3 linked regions of the Schizosaccharomyces pombe genome follow. Changing the gene in region 2 together with the main gene of any one other region gives a genetic interaction. Each region holds a gene or a part of one and is shown on either strand. Other genes may lie near its edges.

What was found. Genes that interact genetically often act in the same process or in processes that back each other up.
Region 1: of pds5 (region 2) and eso1, a mutation in one rescues a mutant of the other (synthetic rescue), as found in Schizosaccharomyces pombe (3 studies listed by BioGRID).
Region 3: mutations in pds5 (region 2) and mis4 are lethal when combined (synthetic lethality), as found in Schizosaccharomyces pombe (3 studies listed by BioGRID, with this or other methods).

Annotation. Positions count from the first base shown.
Region 1 is NC_003423.3:4,276,349-4,281,676, forward strand, and holds eso1 (mitotic cohesin N-acetyltransferase/DNA polymerase eta Eso1 fusion protein), read right to left. Parts: upstream 3,306-5,328; 5' UTR 3,244-3,305; coding exon 625-3,243; 3' UTR 541-624; downstream 1-540. Other genes in the region: SPOM_SPBC16A3.12C (triglyceride lipase-cholesterol esterase), read left to right, coding at 2-351, 403-540; ale1 (MBOAT family O-acyltransferase), read right to left, coding at 3,648-5,177. UniProt on the Schizosaccharomyces pombe protein: Probable acetyltransferase required for the establishment of sister chromatid cohesion and couple the processes of cohesion and DNA replication to ensure that only sister chromatids become paired together.
Region 2 is NC_003424.3:1,910,108-1,916,422, forward strand, and holds pds5 (mitotic and meiotic cohesin loader subunit Pds5), read left to right. Parts: upstream 1-1,740; 5' UTR 1,741-1,934; coding exon 1,935-5,552; 3' UTR 5,553-5,790; downstream 5,791-6,315. Other genes in the region: serine/threonine protein kinase Ppk1, read left to right, coding at 1-1,232; Rho family GTPase Cdc42, read left to right, coding at 6,001-6,048, 6,212-6,280. UniProt on the Schizosaccharomyces pombe protein: Required for the establishment and maintenance of sister chromatid cohesion during S phase. Prevents their formation until eso1 is present. May also have a role during meiosis.
Region 3 is NC_003424.3:391,113-398,870, forward strand, and holds mis4 (adherin Mis4), read right to left. Parts: upstream 5,828-7,758; 5' UTR 5,778-5,827; coding exon 5,669-5,777; exon of another isoform or gene 5,630-5,668; coding exon 5,434-5,629; intron 5,391-5,433; coding exon 4,055-5,390; intron 4,012-4,054; coding exon 3,544-4,011; intron 3,500-3,543; coding exon 1,716-3,499; exon of another isoform or gene 1,676-1,715; coding exon 1,540-1,675; exon of another isoform or gene 1,501-1,539; coding exon 844-1,500; exon of another isoform or gene 804-843; coding exon 726-803; 3' UTR 516-725; downstream 1-515. Other genes in the region: pre1 (proteasome core particle subunit beta 4), read right to left, coding at 1-61; ATP synthase complex assembly protein atp25, read left to right, coding at 6,597-7,758. UniProt on the Schizosaccharomyces pombe protein: Plays a structural role in chromatin. Chromatid cohesion molecule required for equal sister chromatid separation in anaphase. May form a stable link between chromatids in S phase that is split rather than removed in anaphase.

The DNA of each region.
Region 1 (5,328 bases), on a different chromosome or scaffold from region 2:
GATCCCCCAATTTTTGTAAAAATTGTCGATGTATCCCTTAAAATTTTATTCAACTGGGACCTATCCAACATTTCTCTTAATCAAAAACTTTGCGGTTATGCACATCTTTACTCTTTTTCAAGTGTAAAGAGTGTTGTTCACTGGCTTCAGATTATAAAAAACTGTACTTTCCAGCTTTATGACGACGATATGGCTCTTCTAGCTGGATATGGTTCACGCCATTACCAAGTTCCTCTGTTTCCTACGAATAATATCAAATGCCCAATGCTGATACTATGGGGAGGTAAAGATACTTTGATCAATATGGAAGTAATGAGAACTGCTCTTCCTCCCCATGCAAAGGAAGTTTCGGTAAGCCTTTTATTTTATAGGTTTGTTGCTCAATATGCTAATATAAGTTAGATTGCTCATTATGAACATCTTGACTTTCTATGGGGCCAGGATGTTAAAGAGGAAGTGTTCCCAGTTGTAATAGATGCCCTTAAGCATCATTCATTAGGCAAAGCCAAACATTTCGTTAAACAAAACGGTTTTCATTAATGATTAATTAATAATTTAAAAAAAAAACTTCTATATAACGCTTAGATAGATATTTAGAACAACTTTAATTTTGTCAGACTATTTTCAACTTTCATAAACAGCATATCGAAGTGACTTCGAAGAACCATTGTTTCGAGAACGATGCCACGAAATAATGAACTGTTTACCACTTTCACTAGGCTGACTAAAAGCAACTTCTGCAGGCGATATAACGTAACCGTAAATGAATTTTTTTAAAGCATTGTCTAATAGTAAACTTGCTATCCCTTGTTTGCGTCTTGAAGCTGATACCCAAATCCTGGAAATACCCAATACAAACCCCTTTCGTAGATTTTCGTTTTTTATATATACTGCGGAAGAGGTGCTATTGTTGTTGTTGAGTTCAAGTTCATCGACTATGTATGCAGAAGATATACGCTCTGCCAGAAGTAATCCGACACATTTCTTATCTGATATGAATAGAAATGTGGTATATTTATCTACCCCAATTGTTTCAATAGGCTCACTTGAAAGTTCGTTATTTACGAAAGATAAAGCTTCCTCTGCTTTTCTTTGATCAATTAATGAGCTTTCTGAATTTATGCTGTATATGCAATCGGAACTCAAACCATAGTTAACGCGATAAATAGGAGAGCATTGAAAGGACACAGTAACACCTCCTAGAACCCGAGAATGAAACCTAGAATGAAGCAAAATATCTTCTTCGCTCGTTGAATTGTACTCCATAGAACATTCTGAACAAGTTACGGTGGAATTAGCCAAATCTAAGTGTAACTGGGTCATGTTGTCTGAGCTGTTGGAAATTGCTTTTGGCGTTTGCTTTTTCCAATTTGGTGTCAGATTTCCACCGTTTCCTAAAAATGCGTCCAAAAATGCTCTTTTGTTGTTTGTTTCATCGGATAAAGGTGCATAATGCTTGCTACCGGTTTTCCTTCCATATGTTTTAGGCTTTACTTGCTTAGGTTTATCATGGGATGGCGGTACTAAGTTATTATAGCGTTCTTTTCTCGAAATGGAGAGAGCTATATGATAATCTTCATGTTCATTTCTTTCGGATAAAGTAATTTTCTGTTCGCATTCTTCACACGTGTAAGTTTCATCAGCTGAATTCTCCGTTGGTTTAGAAACAGCGGTCTGTTGTAGCATATCAAAAATCCCTTTACCTTTACCTCTTTTCAACCTTTTAGGTGACTTTATATCTTTTTCCGAAGATAATTCAAAAGAATTATTTTCCCTCATATTTTCGTTCAATAATTTAGCGCGTCCCTCAATAGAAGGTGAAACAGAAGTAGACATGTAGATTTCATCATTGGACTTTTTTAAAAAACCCTCAATTCCCCTAGAATTACGATCAACCTCTATGATGTTTTGAAAGCTAATAGATAAGTTTGAAATCGGATATACATCGAATTCCTGTTGCAGTTGACGCAACAGTTTGGATGTTGCTTCAACAATAAACTGAGTGCTAATATCAACATTCATAGGTATTTGACTTGACCTTGACTTTCTCAGAAATCTTGATACAACAGTCAAACAAATGGTCTTGGGCCTTCTCATTCCTTCAAGTTCAAGGAATCGTGATCGAAGATCAGATGCGAATACTTGAAACCAGTTAATTGCATCTTCTTCAGACTTCACTTTTTGCTGAGAAAAATTTTTAGCCGACAACATTGATTTAATCTGAACTTGTGTAGTAATCTCAGTGTTATCAATTCCATGGCACAAATTCCAAACGAGTGGACCGTTAGTTTGACCAAGCTTATCTATCAAAAAGTCCATACTCATATTCCAAACATCCTTAATAGAATCTGTTCCTAATAAATTAATTATTTCTTCTCCAAATTTTCCGCCCAGCATTCTTATATCAGTAATCTTTAATGACACTAAATAATCTTGAATTGCATTTTTCGTTAAAATAGTTTGCTTGTTTGGTTTATTACGCGAGCTGACAAGCTTTGAAAGCATTGGGTTAAAAGAAACTCCTGCTGAGCACGTGTATTTGAGTTGCAAGTATATATCATCGCGAATTTCTTTCACGATTTTTGCAGCGTAAAATAAAAAAACATCATCCCAATCCCTTTCATAATCTTCTTTCGTTCTATCTACAACTTCTTCTTCAATGACCATTCCAAACTCAGCAGGCCATAGTAGCACTGGAGCCTGCGGCAAAGCAACATTTGAGTCCTCAGAGGGAATTTTCAAGTAAGGATATTCCTCCAACACAATCCGTTTAACATCACTCGTAAGTTCAATAAAACATTCGTCAATACTAGCCTTCTTAACCACAGGCGCATGTTTCTTTATGATGTTAAGAATCTTAACGCTTTCGTGCCGATAAGGATCTAAACAGGTTTTATAGTAGTTAGGATTTGGGTTTTCATGGTACTTAGCCTCTGACTCCCCAGCTTTCCAAGTTTTTACATGAGCGGTACAAAGCTCTGGACATTTCTTTTTTGCTTCAGTAACTGTTTCATGGCGTGAAATATTCGCTGCACGGGCTGCGTAGTTTACAGCAATAAGCCCTTGCCATTGTTGAACAGCAAGGGGAACTGAATGGTCTAATCCTAGGCGAACACTTTCGACTTGAGCGTAAAAAGCATCCTGATCAATATGAGCTACAACCCTTAACGGTGAATTTTGTGTACCTGCTTTATCACAATATTGCAAGTCCTTCCAAGAGAATTTGCTTTTGCCTAATTCCATTCAGTTCATACCCTCAAAAAAGTTCTTTAATAAGAATCGCTCAAGTTCTATAGCGCGTTCGTGTTGAATTTAGTGGACTAAGGTACTAGATATAGCAACGTTACCTACTACCAGATACTAAAGCAAAATAAATTCAAACTCTCATAATGTTGTAACCAAAATAAATCATCAAAGGAAATTAGATGTTAAACTTAAAAACTGAATTGAGAGAAAACATTCAGGAATTTTATTTAAGAGACTACTTTAATATGTAAACATATATATAAACACAATGAATATACTGCCGCCATGAAAGGTATTGTATATGATGAACAATTAAGATGAAATTGCTGTTAACAAAGCTGCAAAATATTCAAATGCTTCAATTTATTGCATATGATGCTACCTCATAGCAAATTAATCCTTCATTCATCATTTTCAAAATCTTCTCTTTTGGGCACCGACATATTTAACATGTCCGTATCACTAGTGGATTTCATAGATTGTTCGTAACTTTTTAGTTTATAGCTGTTGACTCTGGATCGTATCTTATTATCTAATTTCGACCTTATTGGGGAATTGAACACAGCCAGAGCTATCAATATATATATATGCACAATAAAATATAGCTCTTTCCAAACGTGTATTGATTCTTTTAGATTCAAAAGAAGGAAAGAGATAATTAGATAGGAGAGAGAGAGGTTTGTTGCTACCATACCAATAACATCATAGACTCGCTTAAAAGGCCCAGGAGTTTCCATATCTGGTTTAAGGAAAAATGGGCGAACATGGCGACGCGTGTATTTTGCAACTGTTTGGATAAAGGCTGCGGAAACAAAAGTCAAATAATATCCAGCAGAAACTCCATGCCACATTGCACTAACAGTGAATGTGCTTAGCGTACTTTTGAACCCTGGACGCTTTCCCTTCTTTGCAACTCTCAAATAAACGTAATTTCGAAGCCATTTATTGGTATTCATGTTCCAAGCCTCAAGAGCACATTTGATATTATCTGCGAATTCGAACTTAATAGGGTCAATATTCTTCACTCGATCCCAACGAGGATGCTTAGAAGAATCCAGGCCATTATAACCAATGCCTGACAATATACATGCACCGTCAGAAAGTTCCCATGCGCCATAATATTTCATTCTTGCAACAAAAGCAGTTATGCAAACGTATCCATATTTTAGCAAAATAGGGGAGGAAGCAAACTTAGGTGTAAGTAGAAACTTTAAAGGATAGATTGAGCTTCCGGTAATAAATAAAATCAGCCACAACAGACCTCGCCAGCAACGACCTAAGGCTGGTTCCAAACTGTGTGGTGTTATCTGTTTTTCATAAGGATCAGCCAAAGGCTTAAACATAGAAAGGGTTATAAACCTTTCGTAATCAACATAATCAAAAGCTGGACCAACAAGTAATGAGGGAAAGAAAAATACGTATCCAAGGAAATACAAGATATTAGGAATCTTTCTCAACGCGCGGTCTTTTTGATAAGAAGATAATTCACTTGAAGGAAGACGACCGTCGTAAACAGACCAGGCAAACGCTGTAAGCTTCATACATAGTACCATTTGTGAAGCAGTAATATCAGTATTTTCTGAAGGGTAAATGTACCGAATAACATGGCTGCTAAATGTATGGCCAAGGATTACTATAAATATGATCCATGGCATTCGTGACGATCGATAAAACGCGGCCACGAAATATGTGAACAAAGCGTCAAATAGCAAAACTAAAACGCCATCGTAAAGATGATGAACACCAATGAGATAAAATAAACCTATGCTTATTGAAAATAAGTTTCTAATCCATGGAGCCGAAGGAAGTCTTTTTAGTATGCCGGCAAACGGGTATGCTGAAAGAAAACAAAACAGTAACTTGAGCTGATCCGGGTGGACTCCAAGGAAAGAAGAGAAGTATTCAAATGGTATATCAATAAGATAAGCCATTGTTAATGTAGACAATACTGTCTCCTGCTTTGGGAATGCCTTTGAATTGAACAACTGATATTAAACACTCAACAATCGATTATTCTTTAATCACGAATGTACAGTGAAGATTGTACCCAGAGTTTGGTGTTGGTGAAGTTTTAGCTCATGA
Region 2 (6,315 bases):
TACATTCTCGAGGAGTGGTACATAGAGATCTGAAGTTGGAGAATATATTGCTAGATACTAATCGAAATATCGTAATTGCGGATTTCGGCTTTGCGACTACTTTTGGGCACTTTAATACTCTCAGTGAACACTCATTGCCCACGGAAAAGCCAGATTTATTTAGTACATCATGTGGATCGCCTTGTTATGCGGCCCCTGAATTAGTGAATTGCAAGTCTGGAATGTATGCTGGCACACAAGCAGATATTTGGAGTTGCGGTGTCATTTTATATGCAATGTTGGCTGGGTATCTACCATTTGACGATGATCCACACAATCCAAATGGAGAAAATGTCCCTCGACTCTATCGGTATATTTGCAGTACTCCTTTAATATTTCCGGAGTTCTTTAAAAGCAAAGCTCGCGACATTCTTAAAAAAATTTTAGTTCCTGATCCAGCAAAACGTGTCCGAATGTCAGCAATTATGAATCACGCATATCTCCGGTCTCATGTGTCTCTATTTGAAACGTATAACGATGATGAAGCGACCTCACTGCGTCCGTCTCCCATCCGTTTGCTTTCTCAAAAATCTTTAGCTAGTGTTTCTTCAGTTTCGTCAATCAGCACTTACTCTTCTTCCATTGAATTGACTCCTCAGATCACAAAAACTTCATTAAATCGAGAAAAACCGGCATTACATGGCAGCATCAATCTTAAACACTCAACGAGGCCGGTTGTACCAATTGCAGATGGTATCTATGCTTCTACTACTCTTCATCCAATCGATAATGCTAAAAACCGCTTGGTTTCTTTACTGCGCCGTCCCAAGCATAAGGTTAAGCATGCCAAAGTTGAAACACGTGAATCTCCTATGAAAAATAAGCCAACTAAGAAACAACACAAGCGTGCATTTAGCATGTTTGAGAGGCCCACTTCTCAGAAAGCCCCATTGTCACCAGTAGAAAGCAAGATTAACCTTATGGTTGCTCCTAAACGTGTATTAAATTGTGCTTCAGATTCTTTAAGAGCTTTATTAGCAGGAAAGACGGATAAATCTTTTTGGGGTTCACGTATACCATTCTTGTTTAATAAATTGAAATCCAAACAGAAGGCTGTATCCAGCTCCTTCAATACGGAAAACTCATTTTTAATTCTTCAAGCAGTTTCGCCTTTAACTTTTGGAGGTTGTTTCAAAGAAGAAAACGCGTATGGGCAGAAGAAGCAGCACATGAGACACGCTACCGTTTTTTAATGTTTGCGTTACGATATTGTATATCTCAACAATGCATGATAATTATCAAACTGCCTGTTTCCTATATTAGTTTTTTAAAAAGATGGCTCTTCGACTTTTTCTTAAGAAAAGCGGTTTATATGGTTATCAATTATTAAAGCTTGAATTGATTGTTTGACAATGTTGAACAATGGGTTTCCTAAAAAAAGACGCTTTAGCTGATTTTTATCGTTTATCAGCGTGTATATTACTTGCCTTGTACTTTACAGTTTCCGCTTTTCATCTTTATTCTAACTTTTTATTTTAATTTTTAATTTTTTGGTACAAGCACCTTTCGTTCTTTAAACTACTTTTAAACTATTAAATTTCTTTCACTCATATGTCCTTATATCTAATTCACTCGTTAATAATATTTTATCATTACCCTTGAGTTATACTTATTAGTAAATAGTGTAATATTTTAATTACAATAAATGGAACGCGTTCTTTTACGCGTCTCTTCTTTAAGCAAGTACATTGCGAGTCTAACACGAACGTAATAAAGAGTTGAGCACCACATTTTGAAATCGCATCTTTCAAGCTTCAATATTGCGAAGTACTAATTAATAAAATCAGCCTATGGCTCTTATGGATATAGAGCATTGAAAGTTTACTGCATTTGTCATTTATTTGTTAAATACCCAAGGTGAATAGTACAAAAGCGTGCAAAAGCCAACTTTTGCGATGATAAAGTTACAGTTTCAAAGAAACATTGTCCCAACACATGACAATCCGTTAACGACTTCCGAGATTTTAAAACGACTACGTGATTTACTAGGAGAGCTTACTAGCCTATCCCAAGATACTATCGACCGTGACTCAGTATTGCCAGTAGCACGATCATTAGTAAATAACAATTTGCTCCATCACAAAGATAAAGGGATACGCTCTTATACACTTTGTTGTATTGTTGAATTGCTTCGTTTATGTGCCCCCGATGCGCCCTTCACTTTATCACAATTGGAAGATATTTTCCAAGTAATTCTCAAAATTCTTAGTGGTCTTATGAATCAAGAATCTACTTATTATCCACAAATTTACGAGATATTAGAGAGTTTGTCGAACGTTAAATCTGCAGTTCTAATAGTTGATCTCCCGAATGCTGAAGAATTCTTAGTAAATATCTTTCGTCTCTTCTTTGATTTAGCGAGAAAGGGTACTACCAAGAATGTCGAGTTTTACATGCTTGATATTATTAACCAGTTGATCAATGAGATTAACACCATTCCTGCTGCTGCCTTGAACATACTATTTGCTCAACTAATATCAGGAAAGGGCGTAAGGCAAACAATTGGCTCTTCCGATTCTACTAATCACGGTCCAGCTTTTCAACTAGCGAGAAATATTTTTCATGACTCAGCAGATCGACTACAAAGATATGTTTGCCAGTATTTCTCAGATATTATATTCGATTCAAGAGATTCGCTTTCTGACTCCATGACTACTCCAGAATTTATATTCTCGCACAATTTAGTTTTACAATTATGGAAATATGCACCAACCACGTTATTGAACATTATTCCACAATTCGAAAATGAATTGCAAGCTGAACAAACTAGTGTGCGACTTGTGGCGATAGAAACTGTTGGTTTGATGCTCCAAGACAACGCCATATGGTCCGATTATCCTAGGGTATGGAGTGCATTTTGTGGTCGGCTCAATGATAAATCAGTTGCATGTCGTATCAAATGCATTGAAGTTGCTTCCAACGCTCTTCAGAATTCATTGGCTACTTCTGAGATAATTGAAAACGTAGTTCAAATGCTTCAATCAAAGTTGGCCGACACGGATGAAAAGGTGCGGGTTGCTACTCTTAAAACGATCGAACAGTTGACTTTCGAAACCTTTAAAATGCAATTTTCAGTACAGGCTTTGAAACTCATGGGTGACCGTTTACGTGATCGTAAACTCAATGTTCGTTTACAAGCAATTCGGACACTAAGTCAAATTTATAATAGAGCATATCAAGACCTTATAGATGGTGTGGAATACTCAATACAGATGTTCAGCTGGATCCCTTCATCTCTTTTGGAAGTATTTTATGTTAATGATGAAACAACTAATGCGGCTGTTGAAATTTGTATGGCTGAACTGGTCCTACAATACCTTAGTTCTGATACGCAAACAAGGTTAAACAGGCTTTTCCTTTCAATAAAGTATTTTAGTGAAAAAGCGATGCGAGTTTTTATTCTACTTTTACAAAGACAAGTTAAGTATTCGGAACTCTTAAATTACTACATTGAGTGCTGCAAAAATTACAATGGAGGTGTTATGGATAATGATGAAGAGTCAATTACCAACAAGCTTAAGAAGGTGATTGATATCATATCATCAAAAAGTTCTAATCCTACATTAACAGAAGCCACTTTCAGAAAATTTGCGGAACTTAATGATCGTCAAAGCTACAAAATGCTTTTACAAACGTTTTCCATTAAAAGTGAATATCAAGTTGTTTTAAAAAGCATAAAATATTTATTTAAAAGGGTTTCTGAAACGTTGAGTACCGCAAGTCTTGAATGTTTTAGAATATTCGTTTACCGTTCAGCTCTGTTTGCTTTTAATAAAAGCAACGTGCATGAAATAATTCAATTATTAAATGAACCTGTAAAATACCACAATTTCCTTAAGCCGTCGGAGGCTCTTTTACAGCATTTACCGCTAATTCATCCCAACATATATGGAGAGGTTGTTATAGAAGTTGAAAATATTATAGTTTCTTCGGGCATTGAATCGGATCCTAAAGTAATTAAAGCTCTTTCCCAATTCTCCAAAAGAAAAAAAAATTTTTCTATACAAACAACAACTGCTGAAATACTACGAAAGTTGTGTCTACATGGAACACAGGAACAAGCCAAACAGGCAGCGACGATTATCGCTATAACGGAGACGAAAGAATTCAAACTCGATATGATAACGAATATCGTGGAAAATTTGGAGTATAATGGAGGACTTCCTGTACGGCTTATGACTTTAGGACAACTATTTCTATACACTTTAGAAGAGGTAGAGAAGGTTGCTGACCAAGTTACAGAATTTTTAGTAAAAAAAGTTATACAGCGCTTTCCTGAAAAATATGATGATACGCATAATGATGAGGAATGGTGTACTTACGAAAAATTAGATAATCTTACCATGTGCAAAGTTTTAGCAATTAGGGTTTTGGTTAATCGACTGAGGGCGGCGGCAGGAGGAACCGAAGCGTTAAATATTGGAGCTCCTATCATTAAGCTATTGAAAGTATTGTTAATGGCTGACGGTGAATTAAGTCCGTTCAAGAATACTCCCAAAATTTCTCGTGCTTATTTACGTCTCACTGCTAGCAAATATTTTTTAAAGTTATGTTCCATTCCTTTTTATGCGGAACATATAGATTTTAGTTCTTACGTTCAAATCTCCTTATTATGCCAAGATGAAAATTTTGACGTGAGAAATTTATTTTTGACGAAGCTTCAGAAGCAGCTGCAACTTAAAAAGTTGCCAATTAGTTATTATCCTTTATTGTTCCTGACTGCTGTTGATCCGGAAGAGGAGATCAAGACTAAAGCGTCTATATGGATACGTTCTCAGGTTGCTTTTTTCCAGAAAACCCATGATTTTACCATGGAATATGTAGCAACATATCTTATCCATCTTCTCTCTCACCATCCAGACATATCTTCGATAGAATCAGAGAACTCGCTTGATTTTATTGCATACATTCGCTTTTACGTTGACACTGTTGTTAATAGTGAGAACGTCCCAATCGTTTTTCATCTAATGCAACGCATAAAACAAAGCTATGATGTTATTGAAGATGGAAACAATTACATTTATGTGCTAAGCGACATGGCTCAGAAAATATTGCAGGTGAAATCCCAGAACTTTGGATGGAGTTTGACTACGTATCCAAAGCAAATTAAATTACCTTACGAAATTTTAAGACCAATTCCCTCTATAGATGAGAAAAAGAGAATTTTCAATAAAATCTTCATAACGCCTAAAATGGAAAGTCAGATTGAACATGCTATAAGGACACCAGTCTCATCTTTTGCGAAACAGACTACCAATAAGCACGCAAATTTGAAGCAAAAGAAGACTCATAGCTCAAAGAGCGATAAAAAATCGTCTAGAAGAAGGAAAAACGAAAAAAGGAGAAAGCTAAATGAGCAGAATCCTAATATTAGGAACGTGCCAGAACGAAGTAGCTCAAGATTTCAAGGGATTCGTATAAATTATTCGGAAGCACCGTCTTCAAGTGAGGAGATAAGCGAAGAAGAGGAGGAAATTAGCGAAGAAGATTTTGATGAAATAGAGGATTTATAAAAAAGGCTTATTTGGATGCGAAATACCGATACTAGAACACTTACCCAATATTACCAATGAATTTTCAATGTTAATTAGATAAATTGCTATCTTTTTTGTTAAACAATCTATGCTTGCTAATTGCCTAAACTTTTGAAAGATGACTCCATCACATACATGCCTCCATAACTTCTGCATCTATTAATTTTTTTCATTCCTAGTAATATAATAATAAAAGTTGCATTTTTGAGTTTTTTTACGCTTTACAATTCGTAAAATCTAATAGTGAGATTGGATTAGCCGCTGTAGTATATCTTAATAAAGCATGGCTGGGCGAACTAATTACGGTGACCGCACAATATATTTACCTACAACCAACACCGGTGTTTGATACTTAGGGGTTTGAACTTTCTAGGAATTCAATAAAGTGAAGCAAAGCTTTACGATTAATTATTTTTTGTGAAATAGTATGCCCACCATTAAGTGTGTCGTAGTAGGAGACGGTGCTGTAGGAAAGGTGAGTTGATGTTTACGGAAGGTGAAGTTAAGCAATGCATAAAAAAATACAAGAATTGCTATCATCTAAAATGAAGTTTCTTTTGTCTATACATTCCCCTTTATTTCTTTCTTTCCAAAAATTGTTCTTTTGAGTTTTACACATACTGACCGTTTGAATGTAGACCTGTCTGCTTATTTCCTATACTACAAACAAGTTTCCTAGTGACTATGTGCCAACTGTATTCGATAATGTAAGTATAATTAGTTGTTTATGGAATGAAGTACT
Region 3 (7,758 bases), 1.5 Mb from region 2:
CTGATGATGATGAAGCAGTGAGTACAAAATCCTGACCCTGAACTGCCAGTAGTGATTCCATGGCTTTTGATGGTGGTTTGGTAAAGGTAAAGTGTTGTGCTGAGCTGAGACGTTTAGTACGCTAACGAGATGCCAATGGAAAACTATAGGCGAAATCATTCACTCAATCGTTTAAATGTCTGTGTTTTAGAAATAGCTTTTTTTCTTTTTTTTTTAAAGGTTACCGCCGTTGTAGTGTAATCGTAGTAGCACGTTTATCTCTTCGTGCTTACTCATGTACTTTGAAAATTCAATACTCTGACAACATATAAATATCCTGATTTGAATATTACATTCAAAAAATAAAAATTTGGGACGATACAAGTTCCTTTACTATTCTAAAAATGATTGTTTCTTATTATTAATAGTTAAAGAACTAGCAGTGTCATTTAACAGTTATGTCTTAACATCTAATTAAAAGGATCTCAAGCTGTTTACTTGTTACTTATTTAAACAATAAATGAAAAGAATGTCTTATTGGTATTAAATAATGCATAAATGAAATTTGGAGCGAGTTGTATTCATGGTTCAGAACTTTTAAATGTTGCTGCCTATTATTGTGAGTAAAAATCAAATTGGATAACCTGTTTTTTCATAAAAAAATATTGATAACCCATATAAAATAAATATTTTTGAAATATACTGCTTGAGAGCTTTTTGATTTTTTTTTTAATCCCTTTTTTCATTTAGACAACTGTAAGCTGTTCCCCTTCAACTTGATCCTCGCCAGAAAGGATATTTTCTTCTTCAAACAATTTTATCACCTAAAACAGTCAGCAATTTGGTTAAGGAACTTTAACTTACCAACTTAGAAACAATATCTGGCTTAGCATCAGAAGTAATTAAATCCACATAACCTCTATTCAAAAGAGTTAGAGGCTTTTTCTCACGTATAGGTCGAGATGAGTCTGAAATTGAAAATGCGTATTTTATATATCTCTTAAGATATATCAAATTGCACAAGTTGATACCTGCAAGGATTTTAAAACGTTCATGATCTAGTTTTTTCATCCACCCAGTAATAGTAGGGCCTATCGTCGCGAGCACCGAATCAACTGTTGAAATGATCATTAACGGTTCCTCTATTGACACGTATGGAATTCCTGCCAGACATACACAGCAAAAGCTTACAAATGAAACTTTTTCTTCTGTAAAGCTGGGTAAATCAATCCCGTCGAGTTTAAGAGGTTTTAATATTTGCATTATTAATTTTTTCCTAGATTTTGAACTTTTATCAGCGGAGACAATGGTATAGGCACTTTGGAACGGCGAAAATTCGCCTAACTTAAATGTTTGATATTCCTCCGTTTTTTGAAGGGAAAATATTAAATCTGCAGATTGAGCATATAAGCCATCTATCAAAGATTCATGTCTTCGGTGCAATTCAGTGTGAAGCAAAATTGCTACTTCTCTGGTTTCTTTAATTGCATTGGATTCGAGTGCTATTATGGTTGAGAAACACTAATTTAATTAGTAATCAAAAAGTAAAAAGTGGCATACCATGCGTGGGTTTACTAGTCCTTGATGAATAATACATTTGAGAATTTCAATTCCGAGCATTGAATACCTTAAATTTTTTGAAAAGCAAGAGTCAAGAATACAGGGAAGGAAATGCTGCATTAAAGATGCACTGACTCTGCATTAAATTAGTGATAGTTTGTTTATAAAATACATACCCTTCAATCCATTGTTTATCCTTAGTTCCTTTAAGCATATCTCGATCAACTGATTTGTTGGACTGAACGTTTTGCTTACCCTTTAAACTTAGCTTTTGATCTGCTTCAAAGATAAGATCCTCATCCGCGGCCAAAAGCTCAAGAAAAGATTTAAACAAAACAGATACTTCGTTAACATTATTTTCCGCAATTATCATATCCAAAGTTGATAACATAAGAGGAGATATAAACAAAGATGTTTCTCTTAAACATATTCTGCTCATGTTATCAATTATGTGAATTCTCAGCTGACCTTTCGCATCTTTTAGAAGTTTCTGAAAATAACCTAATAGTATAACGTAAGCATCATCACACTCAGGACTAATAAAATCAAGTGAATGTTTCCAATCATCATTTATTCTATTGAGATCCCCATATCTAGAAAAAAGCCCAATGAGGTCTATTAAGCGAACCATTTTTTGAAAATTGTTTTCTGAGTGTCGTGCCTCCTCTAAAGATTTAAGACACGAAACCACAATTTTCTTTAACCTTTCATAATCATTAAGTCTTGTAAATAGGCTGCAAAGACAAGGAACTATTTCCATTAACGTTGCAGTACCGGCTTTAGTAAGCCTTTGCAGTAACACAGATTCAAGGCTCCGTAGGAAGCTTTCAGAAATTTCTTTTTGAAATGGTAAAACCTGTCTAAAAATAGCTACTACATAGTAAAGAAAACGTTGCTCTTCAATAGTTGAAGCAGATCGTAAATAGGGTTTTAAGAGGTGTAGATAAGACAAGTCAAAGAGGAAGGGAAAAGCGCGTGAAAAAACAAACAATGTACTCATTATTTCGTATAAAATTCCCTTTGTTGATTCATCAACTTGATCTTCGGTTACAACTTCTATTAGCTGATTGAAAAGACAAGAGAGAAGAAGTCGAATTTGAGTGTGTAGTGTACTCAAATTGATCTCTTCCTTAGAAGTCAACATGGTTTTCAGAGACGTTACCAACAGGACGTGTCTTTCGGTTGATGGTTCAGCACATAGTTTTAAAATAGGAAAATACTGAACTCTTAACTTCTGCTTTTCTAAGAAAGTTAATTGCTCATAGCCTTTTTGACAATCTAATTCATTGCTTGCGGGTGAAAACCAAAGTTTTTCTAAAACCTCAAGGCTTAATTCACTGATTGTTTCCTCTTCATCATTACTCCGGGTTAAAAGTTTTGAAGCTATGTCAACACGGATATTTAAATCTTCGGTAGCTTCATAAACCTCACATAGTTGCTTTATAGCGCGTTTACGAACGATTGTTGAAGGATCCGAAATTCCAGAAATTATACAACCATATATTTGAGGAATTGTCTCCCGATATGCCATGATATATGTGCCAAGTAAGTCTAACACAGTATCTCGAACTATCGCAGACTGATCATTCGATTTTGATATTATCTGAGCCAAAACTTCTGGATGTGTTCTTAATATAGAAGGTATAGTTTTCATTTGATTGATGATTCGAAGGCATTTAGTTCGAAGACTAGCTTGAGGACTATCGAGAAAGCCTATAATGAGCGAGACAAAAAACTTTAAATTTAAAAACAAAGAAGAATGATAAAGGGATATAATGAAAATATCTTCGTCATTTTCATCTGCTTTAAATGGTGAAGGACCTTGAAACCCCTCTTGAGACTTTTGCATATTCTTATCGATACAATTATCAATAATTTTTAAAGCTTCGGAGTCATTGCATACTTTTCTAAGCTGTAAGAGAAATGAAAACCATTTATTGTAGTTATAAGGGAGTATGTTCTGTAAGTTAGTATATAATAAACAAGCAATTAACTTTCACTTACTTCCAGAGATATGTCACCTTTGCATAAAAAGTAAAAATGGTTAAAGCTAACTTGAGAAAGTTCATTTAATCTAGTAATTGAGGGAATGAACGATATTATATCATTGAAATTCGTAGGAGCTGGGATATTGTGCTTCTCGAAAAGGGAAAGATCAAACAATGCCAAAACCTTGTTAACGATGAGACTTATAAGATCCAGCGCAGCATTCTTTGAAGAAACTGCTTGTTTGTCGTTAGTCACAGTCATAACTAAATTCATTGCAAATTGCCGAATAATTGTTTCGGTTCCGCACCATTCAGGCAAAGAAAGCATGTTTAATAAATCTTCTAAAAGGATTTTGGTTAAAATTGCAAATGAGTTGTCACTCTCCGTTTTATTCTGTTTTAAAGAACGACTAAGCAAATAAGCAACAATATGATTAGCTATCCGGTATTCTTCATGTCGAGACTTGGATAGTATTGATTCGACCTACACGTTAGAAATTGATTTTTATTTAGTGTTCATTACATACTGTTTTCAGATGTTCTGTTAAGTTACCTGAGTGTAAAGCTTCAGTGGATTTGCTCTCCGATTGTACAATTTCTGAGTCGAATAAGTTTTGAATGGAGCATGACTGAATTAAACGTACAAATAGGGTTGAATAGTATTGTATGGATTTACCGTTAGAGAGTCTATAGGTCCTTGAGACCGAACGAGCAGTGGGCAAGTGAGAAAAATTTGTAAGTGATTCTTCAATGATAAAATCTCGCTGATAAGGATAAAGACGAAATAAATATTGTAACGTTTGAAATAAAGGAGCTTTAAGAAAATCGAAGGATGAGCTGTTACAGTTAGGAAGTTTAGTTTTGAAGGAATTGTCGAGTGTAGAGACTTTGGGAAATAAATATACAATGCGTATGACCACAGCTTCCGACAAGGGAATTTCATGGGCAACTTTAGATAAGATGTTTAATACATTTGCGACTTTTTGTAACAAAACTGATAGATGTTGAATTTCAGAAGTCCTAGCATCGGAAGTTTTTGATTGAACGATGTTATCAATCGCTTCAGGAACTGTGTACTCAAATATGGAATGTAAGATATTAAGTAAATGAAGAATTGATTCTTCATTTTGAAGCTTTTTAAAGGAGGGGACCAGAAATATTATAAAAAGAACAAGAGCAGTGGTCTTTAAAATAAAGTCTAAATTCGGAAATTGTGTGAGGCTGTCATGAAGATTAATTATACTGTAACAAGCGACAGGAAGCTCTTTTAACTCTTTCTCAAGGATTTGTTTTACAAGTATTATACTCCCTTCTTCCAGCAATTTGTCACAAGCTCCCAAACGACTAAGCTTGGTTAATGCCATATATAGCTTTTCAATTGCGTGCGATGAAATGTGTTTTCCATCATCGTCTTCTCGTTTAATAAAGAGAGAATTCGATGAAAAATCTTCCGAATTCTCAGCTTCTATAACTTGAGAAATTAGTAATCTGGTATCTTGCAACTGCTTTAACAAAACGTCCTGCAACCGCTGGATCTTTGAGGGAGATTCACGAGGCGAATAAGTGTCTTCCATAAGTCGCTTTTTTGGGGTAGTAATATCATCTTTAGATTTTTTAGGGCTACATAATTGAACAGCGTTAAATACGCGAGAACATGATGGACTTCGAGGACTTGAAGACGGAGTTAAGAAGCCATTGTCGGAAGATGAACGGTTTGTATTTATAGAAGAAGCATCAGGTTTCTCCTTGGGTTCACACATCAACATACTTGGCTGAATCAGAGATTTTGTAAAATCATTTAATTCACTTAACGAGTCACTGTTACACACCTTTTGGTCTAGGACCGGACTGGCATTCACCCTCCTTTATATTTGTCAGATAAAAAACCTCAAAAAATTTAACTTACATTGCGGGCATTGCAGGTTCCGTTATCATAGCGCTAAGAGCATTTTTATAAAAATTAAAGGTTTCAGAATCGTTAACGAATGTTGCGCCAGGATTTAGCATATCCACATATCTTTGCATAATACTTGATTCTTCGGAGTTAAGTTGCAATGGCTCATTTTGAAATTTAGAAGATGGATATAATACGTTTTGTAAACCTATGTAAATTAATAGACGCGTTCAAACTGTATGCATACCATTTTCCAATGGGATTGATGATGCTAATGGTGTGTATTGAAGCCCTTTAATAATTCGATTAGAGGAGTTAACTTTTTTAAAGGTTTCAGGTGTCATCTCGAAAAGCATCAAAACATTGCAAAGCTAAGAAAGGGAAGTATTTATCATTAAATTCATTCATCTAAAAACAAAGAAACGTCGGTATATATAAAGCGTAAACAAGTTTAAGGCAATAGACCGAAACGGGAAAATGCAATTAAGATGTAAGCTACGCAGTTTGGTATCTGATTTAAGGATACGTAGAACTGCGGTGAGTTTTCCTTGTGATCTATTATATTACAATACACAGGTTGTATAAGTAGCAACTGAGTATAGGTATTGTATTAACTGGGTTATAATGTTACCTATCACTAATATAGCTCATAACTGAACTGAGGAACGAGTTCAGCAGTAGCTCTATTTATAGTATTCAGATAATATAGATCTTAATAGATTATCATTAAGATTAATTTCCATATCGTATCATAAATGGTACGATATATAATTAGAACATGTGACATATAGTGATACGCAACGTAGTGTATCATAGCGTAATGTAGTATTGCTGACATAAGAAACGTTCGTACATTTCGGATATTGGTGATTACGTATTTCTACAGTGGAACACTATTTAGAATCGGTCTCTTGGTTAGGAAAACGTGCCAAGGTCATTAAATATTTGGTTTTCTCCTAATAATTTGCGGTCTTGTTTTAAAACATACTAAATATTTTTGTTGCTTTAATCTAAGTTTTATCTATTACTATTCAAACAGAAGACAATGTCTTCATGTTATACTGTGATAGAACAGCATTGAGAAATTCTTTTTTCGGCTTTATAAGGTAACACTTCAATTATATTAATTCTTATATTTTTAATGACTGTGCTGAGATTTCATATTTTATTAAAAAATGCCCACATATCGCTTTAATTATCTACGTTTCAACAAACTATGTGTTTCCTTTTTTCGAAGCAAATTTGACAAACGACCTTTCGCTTCTCAAAAGTTTCCTGAAAATTTAGTTCCTGATAATTCAAGTAATGACGCTAATTCGCAACCAGAGGAAGTCTCAAGCAAAAAACCATGGTATGTGGATGAAAAACATAATCTATTTCCTAAAAAAGCGCATTTCGATGCGGTTGCGCTGCCACCTATTCCAAAAGGTGCTCCAAACTTTTTAGCTGATGTGTTAAACCTTCTTAAAAAGAAGTATTATGCCACTGATCTCAGTTTTGTTAACTCACCCGCCGATTCTTTTTGGTGTGATTCAGATCTTATTTTACTAGCTTCTTGCAACTGTGGATCTGAAGTTGTATCCGCTACTAATGGCTTACTTCGCCTTTTAAAACAAAAAAACGTTGGACCGGTGAACGTAGATGGCCTTACTAGTGCATCTCGGAGAAAAATTTTAGAACGGAGAATGAGGAAACGTTCCAATTTGTCAAACCGACAATTAAACACGTCTGAAAATAATTGGACATGTCTCAGTATCGAAAACTTCGGCATAAGCATTCATGTAATTACAAAAAATTTTAGGGAATACTATAAACTGGACAATATTGAACATGTTAAGGATGAAACTTTGTATTCTGATCTCGAACATGGCAAACAATCTAGGGTCTCACTCACTAGTAAATCTACACCTGATAATTCTTTACCTCCAAATTTTATTAATAACCACTCGAACGTATTTCGGAGAAGTTTCCATACTTGTAACTTTTCTTTAAAAAGTGCCGCATCCCTTTATTGCGATACCCAGGATATCTTGTTAAACGTCAATTCACAAAATCTGACGAGTACTTTGGAAAAATATAAGAAAATGCATCTCCAAAATCCTAATAATTTTTCTTTGGATTTTACTCTTTCAATTTTTGAGCGACTTCGAAAAGATTCTTCTTTGCAACTGACTACAAAGGATATCAATACGCTTTTCAGTACTATAGCTTTGTCTCCAACAAAGTTGAGTATGGCTTCTAAACACTCTAAAAATTTGGTTAGTGAGCGGATGTTGTATCTTTCACTAATGTATAAATCTTTAGTCGATCTAAAAACCATCGATTCATTTTCACTAA